Arabidopsis thaliana: one gene and its partner. The protein of the gene in region 1 interacts with the protein of each later gene in a pairwise test. Each region holds a gene or a part of one and is shown on either strand. Other genes may lie near its edges.

Evidence for each region.
Region 2: the proteins of SNRK2.10 (region 1) and BZIP27 interact in a two-hybrid assay, tested with the Arabidopsis thaliana proteins (one large-scale study listed by BioGRID).

The regions. Positions count from the first base shown.
Region 1 is NC_003070.9:22,438,471-22,444,279, reverse strand, and holds SNRK2.10 (SNF1-related protein kinase 2.10), read left to right. Parts: upstream 1-2,058; 5' UTR 2,059-2,172; exon of another isoform or gene 2,173-2,345; 5' UTR 2,346-2,383; coding exon 2,384-2,503; intron 2,504-2,690; coding exon 2,691-2,765; intron 2,766-2,868; coding exon 2,869-2,970; intron 2,971-3,197; coding exon 3,198-3,251; intron 3,252-3,352; coding exon 3,353-3,445; intron 3,446-3,590; coding exon 3,591-3,683; intron 3,684-4,177; coding exon 4,178-4,282; intron 4,283-4,361; coding exon 4,362-4,460; intron 4,461-4,537; coding exon 4,538-4,882; 3' UTR 4,883-5,217; downstream 5,218-5,809.
Region 2 is NC_003071.7:7,720,748-7,724,941, forward strand, and holds BZIP27 (basic region/leucine zipper motif 27), read left to right. Parts: upstream 1-2,077; 5' UTR 2,078-2,238; coding exon 2,239-2,826; 3' UTR 2,827-2,900; coding exon of another isoform or gene 2,901-2,978; intron 2,979-3,132; coding exon of another isoform or gene 3,133-3,204; 3' UTR 3,205-3,544; downstream 3,545-4,194. UniProt on the Arabidopsis thaliana protein: Transcription factor required for the transition to flowering promoted by FT.

The sequences.
Region 1 (5,809 bases):
AATAACTCTTCGTTTGTTCCACTAAAATCATAAAAGATGTGGACTGGTTGTAACATCATATCTAGGCCGGGTTTAACTTCCAAACCGTATCAACCTGACCGAATCAAACCATTTTAACCCAATTACTGTAAATTACTCCATTATAATTATATAACGTAAATAATTGAACCTTACATAGAATGTATACCAAATCAACAAGTGAATACATAATCTCCACCTTCACACTTCAGTCAACTTCTAATGGCCTTTCAGTACATGAATAAATTGTTGGGAGAAGAGGTCATACTTGCTTGAATTGGGTGGAAGTAGTTTTCTAGTGAAGACCAGCCTCTTGGCATAACGTCGGAAAGTAGAAAAATCCTCAGAAACTTAAACACAATCAACAAAGTAGAGTATGAGACCATCTACATCGGTTGATTCTCAAAAAAGAGTTTCTCATGAATAAAATATTGCTTATTTTAATTGAATTTAGATAAAGTATTAAATTTTAATAAAAAGAATAAAATCAATCATTTCTGGAAAAACACGTGGCCATAAACATTTTTCAGAGTTTCTGAAAACAGAGACGATTCTCACTTCTCTCTTCTTTTCACCACTTTGTATTATTTTAATAATAAATATCTCTTTTAAATACTGTTGATGGAAGTGTCCTGATAGGTTTAAAACTTTTTAGTTATTTTTAATAAAAAGTGACTAAATTTTTTATTTTAGTTAAAGAAAAGTGGTTGAGATCTCTTTTAAAAACAATCTATCTATCATATCGAAATGACAAATTAGATAATCGTATTATCAAAAGCTAGATCTAACTAGGAATTGCAAGAGCATATTTTGCAGCCCCATTTCAATCTACTACATGTTGCAAATAGACAAATAGATAATCATATAGATAAAACTCATCAAGGAGATTGACTTATTGTTAACGAAACCAAACCCATGACATAATTTAGTAATGATGTAAGTGTTTTTGTACATGAAACAGTTTGCCACAAGCAACAACTGGACTTATGCCACTGAAATCAACGAAATTAGAAACCATATTAAAACCTAATCCATAGTGCCACGAACACAAGAAACCTACAACGCAGTCGATAAACACTTGCTAGAATTACGTTTCTTAAAGTTGTGCATTAGCCTTACTTCATCTATTGGGCCTTAAAATCATAAAGCCCATTACGAGAATGCAATCGTAAATGTTTTTTTTTCTTTCTTACTCAACATCTATATGATATATCCGTTATCTGTTGGGGTAGCTTAAGCAAAGTCACAACTCACAAATCTATCCATCATTCAATGTAACAAATCTATTGCTTTTTTAGTTAAGAAGAGAATTTATTTAGTTTGCATCTCCTATTATTTTAACAAAACTAATAATTTTTTGCAAATTTTAAAATTATATCTCAACTTTATACATATAATCAAAATGTGATTTCACATAGCCACATTCGGAAAGTATAAACCAACCATTCTACAAACAACCAACAAGTCAATGTTTAATTACGTTTTTCAGGTTAATTCAGAAGTTGTTCCAAATCGAATCTTTCCGTAAAAGGCAAAAACATATCTAGACAATCCAACAAGATAACTAAGTCATATTCAGATTCGTTATATAACTTATATAGCTTTCTACTGACCGTTAGTTGCAATTATAGTTTATCTAATATTAAACTAACTTTCTTTTTTGTAACTAAATACTCTCGGGTAAAAAAAGTCCTAACAATCTCATTTTTTGATAACTGGATACTTTAAGATAAAATCCAAACTAATCTCCAGCTCTTATAAAGATCCACTAGAGAATTATAGTAAACATTCTTGAGTACAAGTTGTTTTCGTATTCTCTTGATTCTTTAAAAAAAGCATATCCAATAAACAAATGATGTTCTCGTAGAATCGGCAAATTGCAAAAAGATGAAAAAATAAGAAATAGACGCAATTCTGTGACAACTAAAATATCCTTTTCACATATAGCGACGTCTCAGTCACTAAAGAACCGATAGAATTGGAATTTGTAGGTCCCACATTTATTAATATACCTCTTAAATTAACCAAAAATAATTCAATAAGTAAACTATTACTTAAATAATAAAAAAATAAGAGCCATCGTGACTTCGAGAGAAGAAGCCAGCAAGGAACGATGGAGATTATTACGGCATCATCATCATCATCATCATCATTGTAATTCGTAATCATATCTTCTTTTGGAATTTCTTCACGGATAAGAAAAAAGGATATCGACAATTTCGCTTTTGCTTTCAAAATCTCATTCTATCACTTTGTGCCTTTTTTAGCCATCGCGAAAAACCTCTGAATCGCATCCCTTGATTTTCTGGGTTTGTGACTTTGTGTAGTGGAAATTAGGCTTGTTGTTTGATTTCGCTACGAGAAAATGGACAAGTACGAGCTTGTTAAAGACATCGGTGCTGGGAATTTTGGAGTGGCGAGGCTCATGAGAGTCAAAAACTCCAAGGAACTCGTTGCTATGAAGTACATCGAGCGTGGACCTAAGGTTCTTCTTCTAACTCTCAAATTACTTCCTTTTACGTGTGCAATTTTGCAAGTTGGAGTGTTCTTCTGCTTCGTTTATCTGGGATTCTTACTTTTGTGAGCATAGTACTGGTTCATTGTCTTATAAGATCAAAGATTGAGTATGTGATTTTCAATCCTTTTTTTTCTGGTTTTGTTTTGGTGAATAGATTGATGAGAACGTGGCGAGAGAGATTATTAACCACAGATCACTTCGTCATCCCAATATTATCCGGTTTAAGGAGGTAACTGCATTTTTTCCATGGCTTCATGGTGTCATGTTTAAACCGATGGTGATTAGTCTCAGCGGAAGTTGGTATCCTAAGTTCACTGTTGTGGCATTTCCAGGTGGTTTTGACACCAACGCACATCGCCATTGCTATGGAATATGCTGCTGGCGGTGAGCTATTTGAGCGTATATGTAGCGCTGGAAGATTCAGTGAGGATGAGGTGAGCTTCCCCTGGCATTTAAAGATTTTAAGTCATGGTGGTGTACTAAATGATCAATTTCAGAGTTGTATTGTGGTCTGAGATTAATTGAGTGGAAAGGAAAGCGGAAATCTTGTAGAATTATATTTGTGTTTTGTAGTACAGGAAGCAAAAGGAATATGTGTTGTAAATCATTTGGAGCAGCTTCTCCGATTATGATAGCTTTTTGTGCACATCTTTGTTTTCAGGCAAGATACTTTTTCCAGCAGCTTATCTCAGGAGTCAGCTATTGTCATGCTATGGTAAGAGAAAGAAATGGGTTACGAAGTTTTTTTAACTTCACAGATATACATAATTTCTGCGGTATCAGTCCTTTACTTGCATTAGTTCCTTATTGTCACAGCAAATATGCCACAGAGATCTGAAGCTTGAAAATACCCTCTTAGATGGAAGTCCTGCTCCACGCCTGAAGATCTGTGATTTTGGTTATTCCAAGGTCTGCCATATATCTCCAGCATGCACTTGAATGTGCTAGTGATTTCTTAATTTATCCTGTTGTAACAAGCTCCTCTTTCTTCTTTTTCCCTCCATTTGCGAGGCCCCTTGTCACTTCCATGTGAGCTATTTTTCTTCTTTTGTAGTCCTCACTGTTGCACTCTATGCCCAAATCAACTGTTGGAACTCCAGCATATATTGCACCTGAGGTTCTTTCTCGCGGAGAGTATGATGGCAAGGTAATCTTATTGGTTTGCAAGTATTAGTATATCAAGTATGCTTAGCATCTTGATAGAGACATCATAGTTTGAAAAAATTTCCTGCGTAGTAATGTAGCTCTTTCAACTTTTTCTCATGCATAATATGTTTATACATCAAGAAGGTATCGCCCATATTGGCAGATATCTGCTGTGGCCTTGATAGATTTGGGCAGTAAACATGTCTTTTTAATTATCCAGGACCAGAATGTGTTATTTTTCCATTTTTTATCATTTAATCGCCATTCCTTTTTTGCATTTCTCGACTCTTTAAGTGCGTTTGTTCATTGATAATTATAAGCTTTCTAGCCTTGAGCCATGCATAAAGAATTTTTTAGAAACGCAATGGATCCCAAATACTTATCTTGACCCATATGCTCTATGAAATTGTTATGATCTTATTGTTTGGATTTGGAAACATCAACTTCACAGAAATCATCAGAGTTTTGGTACTTATATTCTTCCTTCTCACTCAGATGGCTGATGTATGGTCTTGTGGTGTGACTCTTTATGTCATGCTGGTGGGAGCATACCCATTTGAAGACCAAGAGGATCCCAAAAACTTCAAAAAAACAATACAAGTAGGTTTCTTTGTTTTTGCATTCTTTGCTTAAGAGTTGACACGACACCACCACTGATCGTTGTGCCACATTGTTACAGAGAATAATGGCTGTCAAGTACAAGATCCCGGACTATGTCCATATCTCACAAGATTGCAAACATCTCCTCTCCCGTATATTTGTCACCAACTCGAATAAGGTATCATCACTCTGTCGAAAAGCTTGTCCATCCTTTTTGAGATAATTACTTGTATAACTTATCATTTTTCTTGTCAGAGGATTACGATAGGTGACATCAAGAAACATCCATGGTTCCTAAAGAACCTGCCAAGGGAACTTACAGAAATAGCTCAAGCTGCATACTTCAGGAAAGAGAACCCGACATTCTCACTCCAAAGCGTCGAAGAGATAATGAAGATTGTGGAAGAGGCAAAAACTCCAGCTCGTGTTTCTCGGTCGATTGGAGCATTTGGGTGGGGAGGAGGAGAAGATGCCGAGGGCAAGGAGGAAGATGCAGAGGAAGAAGTTGAGGAAGTAGAAGAAGAAGAAGACGAAGAAGATGAGTATGATAAGACGGTGAAGCAAGTGCATGCTAGCATGGGAGAAGTCCGAGTCAGTTAAAAAAAAAGATTGATTTTCTTTTCACGAAAGTATTCTAAAACCAAAAAAAAAAGAAAAAAAAGTTTTCGTTGGTCTGTCGAATTTGTCTCTTGCTCTGTGTTGAGTTCTTATTTTCTTTTCTTGGTCATAATTTTTAAGGTTAGTCTCATAAATGCTTTGGAATTTTGCTTCTGAAAATCTTGTAAAATCTGCAGTAGAAGAAAGAACAAACTGGTTTGATGATAAGTTCGGTTTGGGCGAATAAAATATTTTGTATATTATATGGTCTATTTTGCAAATTACCTCAGATTTCACCTTGTTTATTTTGCTAATTAATTTTCATATACAAACAGAGCTTAAAAATTACAATTTACAACATTTTTATACTTGTGAAATTGAAATCTCGTGTAATACTATTTTGTCATGTTATAATTTTTCAAAAATTTATCGTTGCTGTTTTTAAAATATGGATTTAAAACCGATACATGGAATTATTTTCCTTTGAAATCAAAATATATTTGTTTTTGATGTCTGTGAAAGTGAGGGAGAGAGAGAGTGAACCTTTTTAACTATCCCGCCATACGAAAATCGCAGAAAGCTGTAATTGGAGACGCGCTCTTTCTTCTCTCTCGCCTCGTGATCTTACCGGAAAAGTTTCGTCGCCGGAGTTTCACTATTTCGCCGCAGAAGCACTAGAGTTTCATCTGTTTGAAAATGTAATCTCGATCTTCCCGTTTCCCAGTCATTTCTAGGGGTTTTTGTTCGCTTTTTCTCACACCGATTCATTTGCGAATAATTTTTGAGTGTATTGTTCGGTGTTCGTCTGTGTGTAAAGAGGAATTTTCGTTAGTTATAGCAGAATCGCTTCATCTTCTAGTTGGAGAACTTATTAGCTTCTGGATTTGGTTAGTTCTTCGTTTTCCTATGCATAGATTTTGAAATTAATCG
Region 2 (4,194 bases), on another chromosome or scaffold:
AAGAAGAAGAAGATGACATTAATTAAACTCTAAAGTAATTTTGTCAATTCAGTTCATAGAAAATGCATAACTCTATAAGCCCATTGTAAAAATGCTCAATTTCAAATTTTTGGGCCAAATATTACTCATTTCTGTAAAAGCTCCATCTAAAATTAGTCTAAACTAGGTCTAATATGTAGTGAAACGAAAGGTCCATAGGATATATTGGACAAAGATTAATACGAAGAGAATTAAAGCTAATGAAGTTTGGGGAAAGAGTAACACAGACCTGACACTTGTTCTATCCATGGGAGCTTGCCACGTCAATCTCATTGTCTTTGGACTCGTAGACAAACATAACTTTTTTTTTTGGTCCGTAGACAAACATAACATGGGTGGGTTATTACTTTTTTTTTTTTTTGGACAAAAAGGTGGGTTATTACTTATTAATTTCGATTAAGAGATTTTCATGGTTTCGTATTCGATTTTATTTTTCTTCTACCGAATCAGAACGGGTACTTCTTTTTGGGTTCAGAAACAAATTCATGTTTGATTTGGCTGGGGTATTATTAGTGGTATCAAAGCTATATAGAAAATGATTTTTTTTTTTCGGGTGGTGATCCATACCCTTACTATCCAACTAATTCTCTCAAAAAGTGTATACTTCGGCTCGCCGAATTTTTTAATGAACCTAAAATATAAAACAACTTCGATTGGTTAAGGGTATTTCCAATAGTGATCTTTATATTTTTCTCTATTTACAGAGGTGACTTTATTTTAGAAACATTGTGCTCTAATGGTTGTTGGGTATGTTTCTCATTGGGTCTTTTATAAAATAACTAAGCTTTAATTCCAACAATAGTTACCTCTAAAATAAAAGAAAAATAGAAATATCTACATTGTATCTCTATAAATAGAAATGTCTACAATTTATCTCTATTTTTCCTTTATTTTTTAAAAAACTCTATTTTAGAAGTGACCATTGGAGCACAATGCCTCTAAATATAATCATTTTTAAAATATAGAAAAATATAGAGGTAACCATTGGAAATGGTCTAAGTGAAAGTGATTTAGAAAGAAAATATTTTTTTTTATGCTAAGATATGGTGAAAATGCGAAATTGTTTAGATAAAAACATCATTTATGAAATGAGGAACATATAACATATCTGTTAGTCACAATTGAATAGTTTTCTCAATGATCTAAAACATAAAATAAATTAATCAGAAAAAGAATATGATGATGAGGAAATGTGATTATTTGTAAAATATATAAAATTTCATGACCCTGTTTTATTTTCTTTTTTTCAATTGTCCTTTGGCATTATAAGCCTCTCCATTCTGGGAACTTTGAAAAATCAATCACATCAGGCTCAGTTATCTTTTACTCAACCAATAAGTTGCTTTCCATTACCACTACCAATATTAATGTATAAAATAGATAAATATATACAGTTATATCTTTCATATTCATAATCACATGTTGTGACATTATTGTAATGACATAATACAAATATACACTTCTTTCTTCTTTTCAAAACCATATTTAACTCGAAATGAGGTCAAACTCAAATTATGATATGATATGGTGCTCATAAGTCATGGATCTAGTTTTTTATATACGTGTTTAAGTGGTTGTAGTGCATTAATCTATTTGATCGGATTTGAAGATAGATTAGAGATATATTATGTAAGCAAAACTATTAGAAAAGTTGAAAATATATAATTACAAAAAGGTAAAAACAAACAGAAAAGTTGGTAAAAATTAAAGCAAAGATCACACACACTTGAAAGCGATTTAAAGGGTCTATTGAATTGTTGTGATATTAAAGTGAGACCAAAACCATAGCTTATTGGTTACCTTTTCAAAACAAAGAATCTCTTTACCCACCAACTCCAGATTTAAGTATCATGCATTCATGCTAATTGGTAAATAATTCCTTCTGTAACATAAAAATGATTATCTTAGGAGAAAAAGTTTGACGTCACATAAGTCATAACTATAGATTTATCACTATCAAATTTTGGATTAAGTGACAAAAAGTCATTACATTAACATATTTTGATTTTGTTTTTTTTCTTTCTAGAACAATTACATCTCTGTTTCTTCTACTACTGGACCCAACCATCATGATACTAGAAATGACCATTGAGAGACAAGAAGTTCACAATCTTTCTCTCTCTGTCTCAAAGCTATAAGACATTTGACATCCCAAAACCAAAAAACAAAGCATTCTATGCTATTCTGTTCTGTTCTCCAATGTTGTCATCAGCAAAGCATAATAAGATCAACAACCATAGTGCCTTTTCAATTTCCTCTTCATCATCATCATTATCAACATCATCCTCCCTAGGCCATAACAAATCTCAAGTCACCATGGAAGAAGTATGGAAAGAAATCAACCTTGGTTCACTTCACTACCATCGGCAACTAAACATTGGTCATGAACCAATGTTAAAGAACCAAAACCCTAATAACTCCATCTTTCAAGATTTCCTCAACATGCCTCTGAATCAACCACCACCACCACCACCACCACCTTCCTCTTCCACCATTGTCACTGCTCTCTATGGCTCTCTGCCTCTTCCGCCTCCTGCCACTGTCCTCAGCTTAAACTCCGGTGTTGGATTCGAGTTTCTTGATACCACAGAAAATCTTCTTGCTTCTAACCCTCGCTCCTTTGAGGAATCTGCAAAGTTTGGTTGTCTTGGTAAGAAAAGAGGCCAAGATTCTGATGATACTAGAGGAGACAGAAGGTATAAGCGTATGATCAAGAACAGAGAATCTGCTGCTCGTTCAAGGGCTAGGAAGCAGGAATGTGTCTCTCCTCACTCTTCTACTTTCTAATTCCTCTAAATCAACAGAATCTCGTATTAAATCAACAATTCCTCTGTACTAAAATTGGTCCATGGATCTTTCAGGCATATACAAACGAACTTGAGCTTGAAATTGCTCACTTGCAGACAGAGAATGCAAGACTCAAGATACAACAAGAGCAGGTAAAACTAACACTGACTTCTTGCTTTAATGCCTTAGTCTAATTTTGTCTTGAGAAACTTGTGCATTACTTCTTGCAGTAACTTTTTCTTGTGAATGTAAGATTCTGCTACTTAAGGCCAATATTTTTATTTTTCTGTTTTTTGGAAAATACAGCTGAAAATAGCCGAAGCAACTCAAAACCAAGTAAAGAAAACACTACAACGGTCTTCCACAGCTCCATTTTGAGAAAAATCTACTATTTCTTTTTGGGGGAGTTTCAAGTGTTTCTTATGAAGATGAGAAAAACAGAAAAAGTTTGTACATTTTAGCTAAGTTAAATTTGTGGTGGTAAGTAATGTAAAAGAAAAGTGTGTGTAGAAGAAAAGTGTCTAGAAAAAGAAAGCAACTAACTTTCTTCTTCTTCTCTGGTTTCCTATCAACTCTTTTGACTTTTGTACTTTTTTTCTTCTCTACTTAACCTCTATTATTGTAATGCCAAGTCAAGTCCTTATCTAGCTAGTACATGAGTTTCTGTTTTCACTGGTTAAGCCATTACTGCACTGTATTGTCAGATGATATAAGTCTTCATAATGATGCTAAGAAGATTTTTTCTTGGTTGACTTCTTTTTGTGTATGCTTTATTAGCAACCAGAAACAACAGAGAAACAGAATAAATACCTAAGAGCAAATTTGGTAGCATCTAATGTTTTAATAAAAGTTGGGCCATGAATATGCTCACATTATAAAGTTGGCTTTATTAGTAACCAGAAACAACAGAGAAACAAAATAAACACCTAAGAGCAAATTTGGTAACATCTAATGTATAAATAAAAGTTGGGCAATGAATTTGCTGACTTCCTTCTTGTAGCAACTTTAAAGATGCTACAAATGCTTGCTTCATTCTGATCCAATAATATTTGTTCTTCTGATGCATCCACCTTCTTCCTCAAACATTTGGAACCAATCTAAAGGAATAATTAACAACAATATGATAGAGATGACATGTTATTCAGTGTAAATTTCTTAACTTTATTTAGCAGGCAGCACATAAAAAATGGGAAAGAATCAGCTAATCTTGATCCTCTATTTGACGAAAATAAAATCTTCAAAATACCAAAAGCTATGAACAAAATATTCAATCTGCAAAACTAACGTGAAAAACTCTTTTTTTTTTTCTTTGGTCACAACATGAAACCTTATTTTTCTGCACTGAAAATTTCATATTATAACTTACAA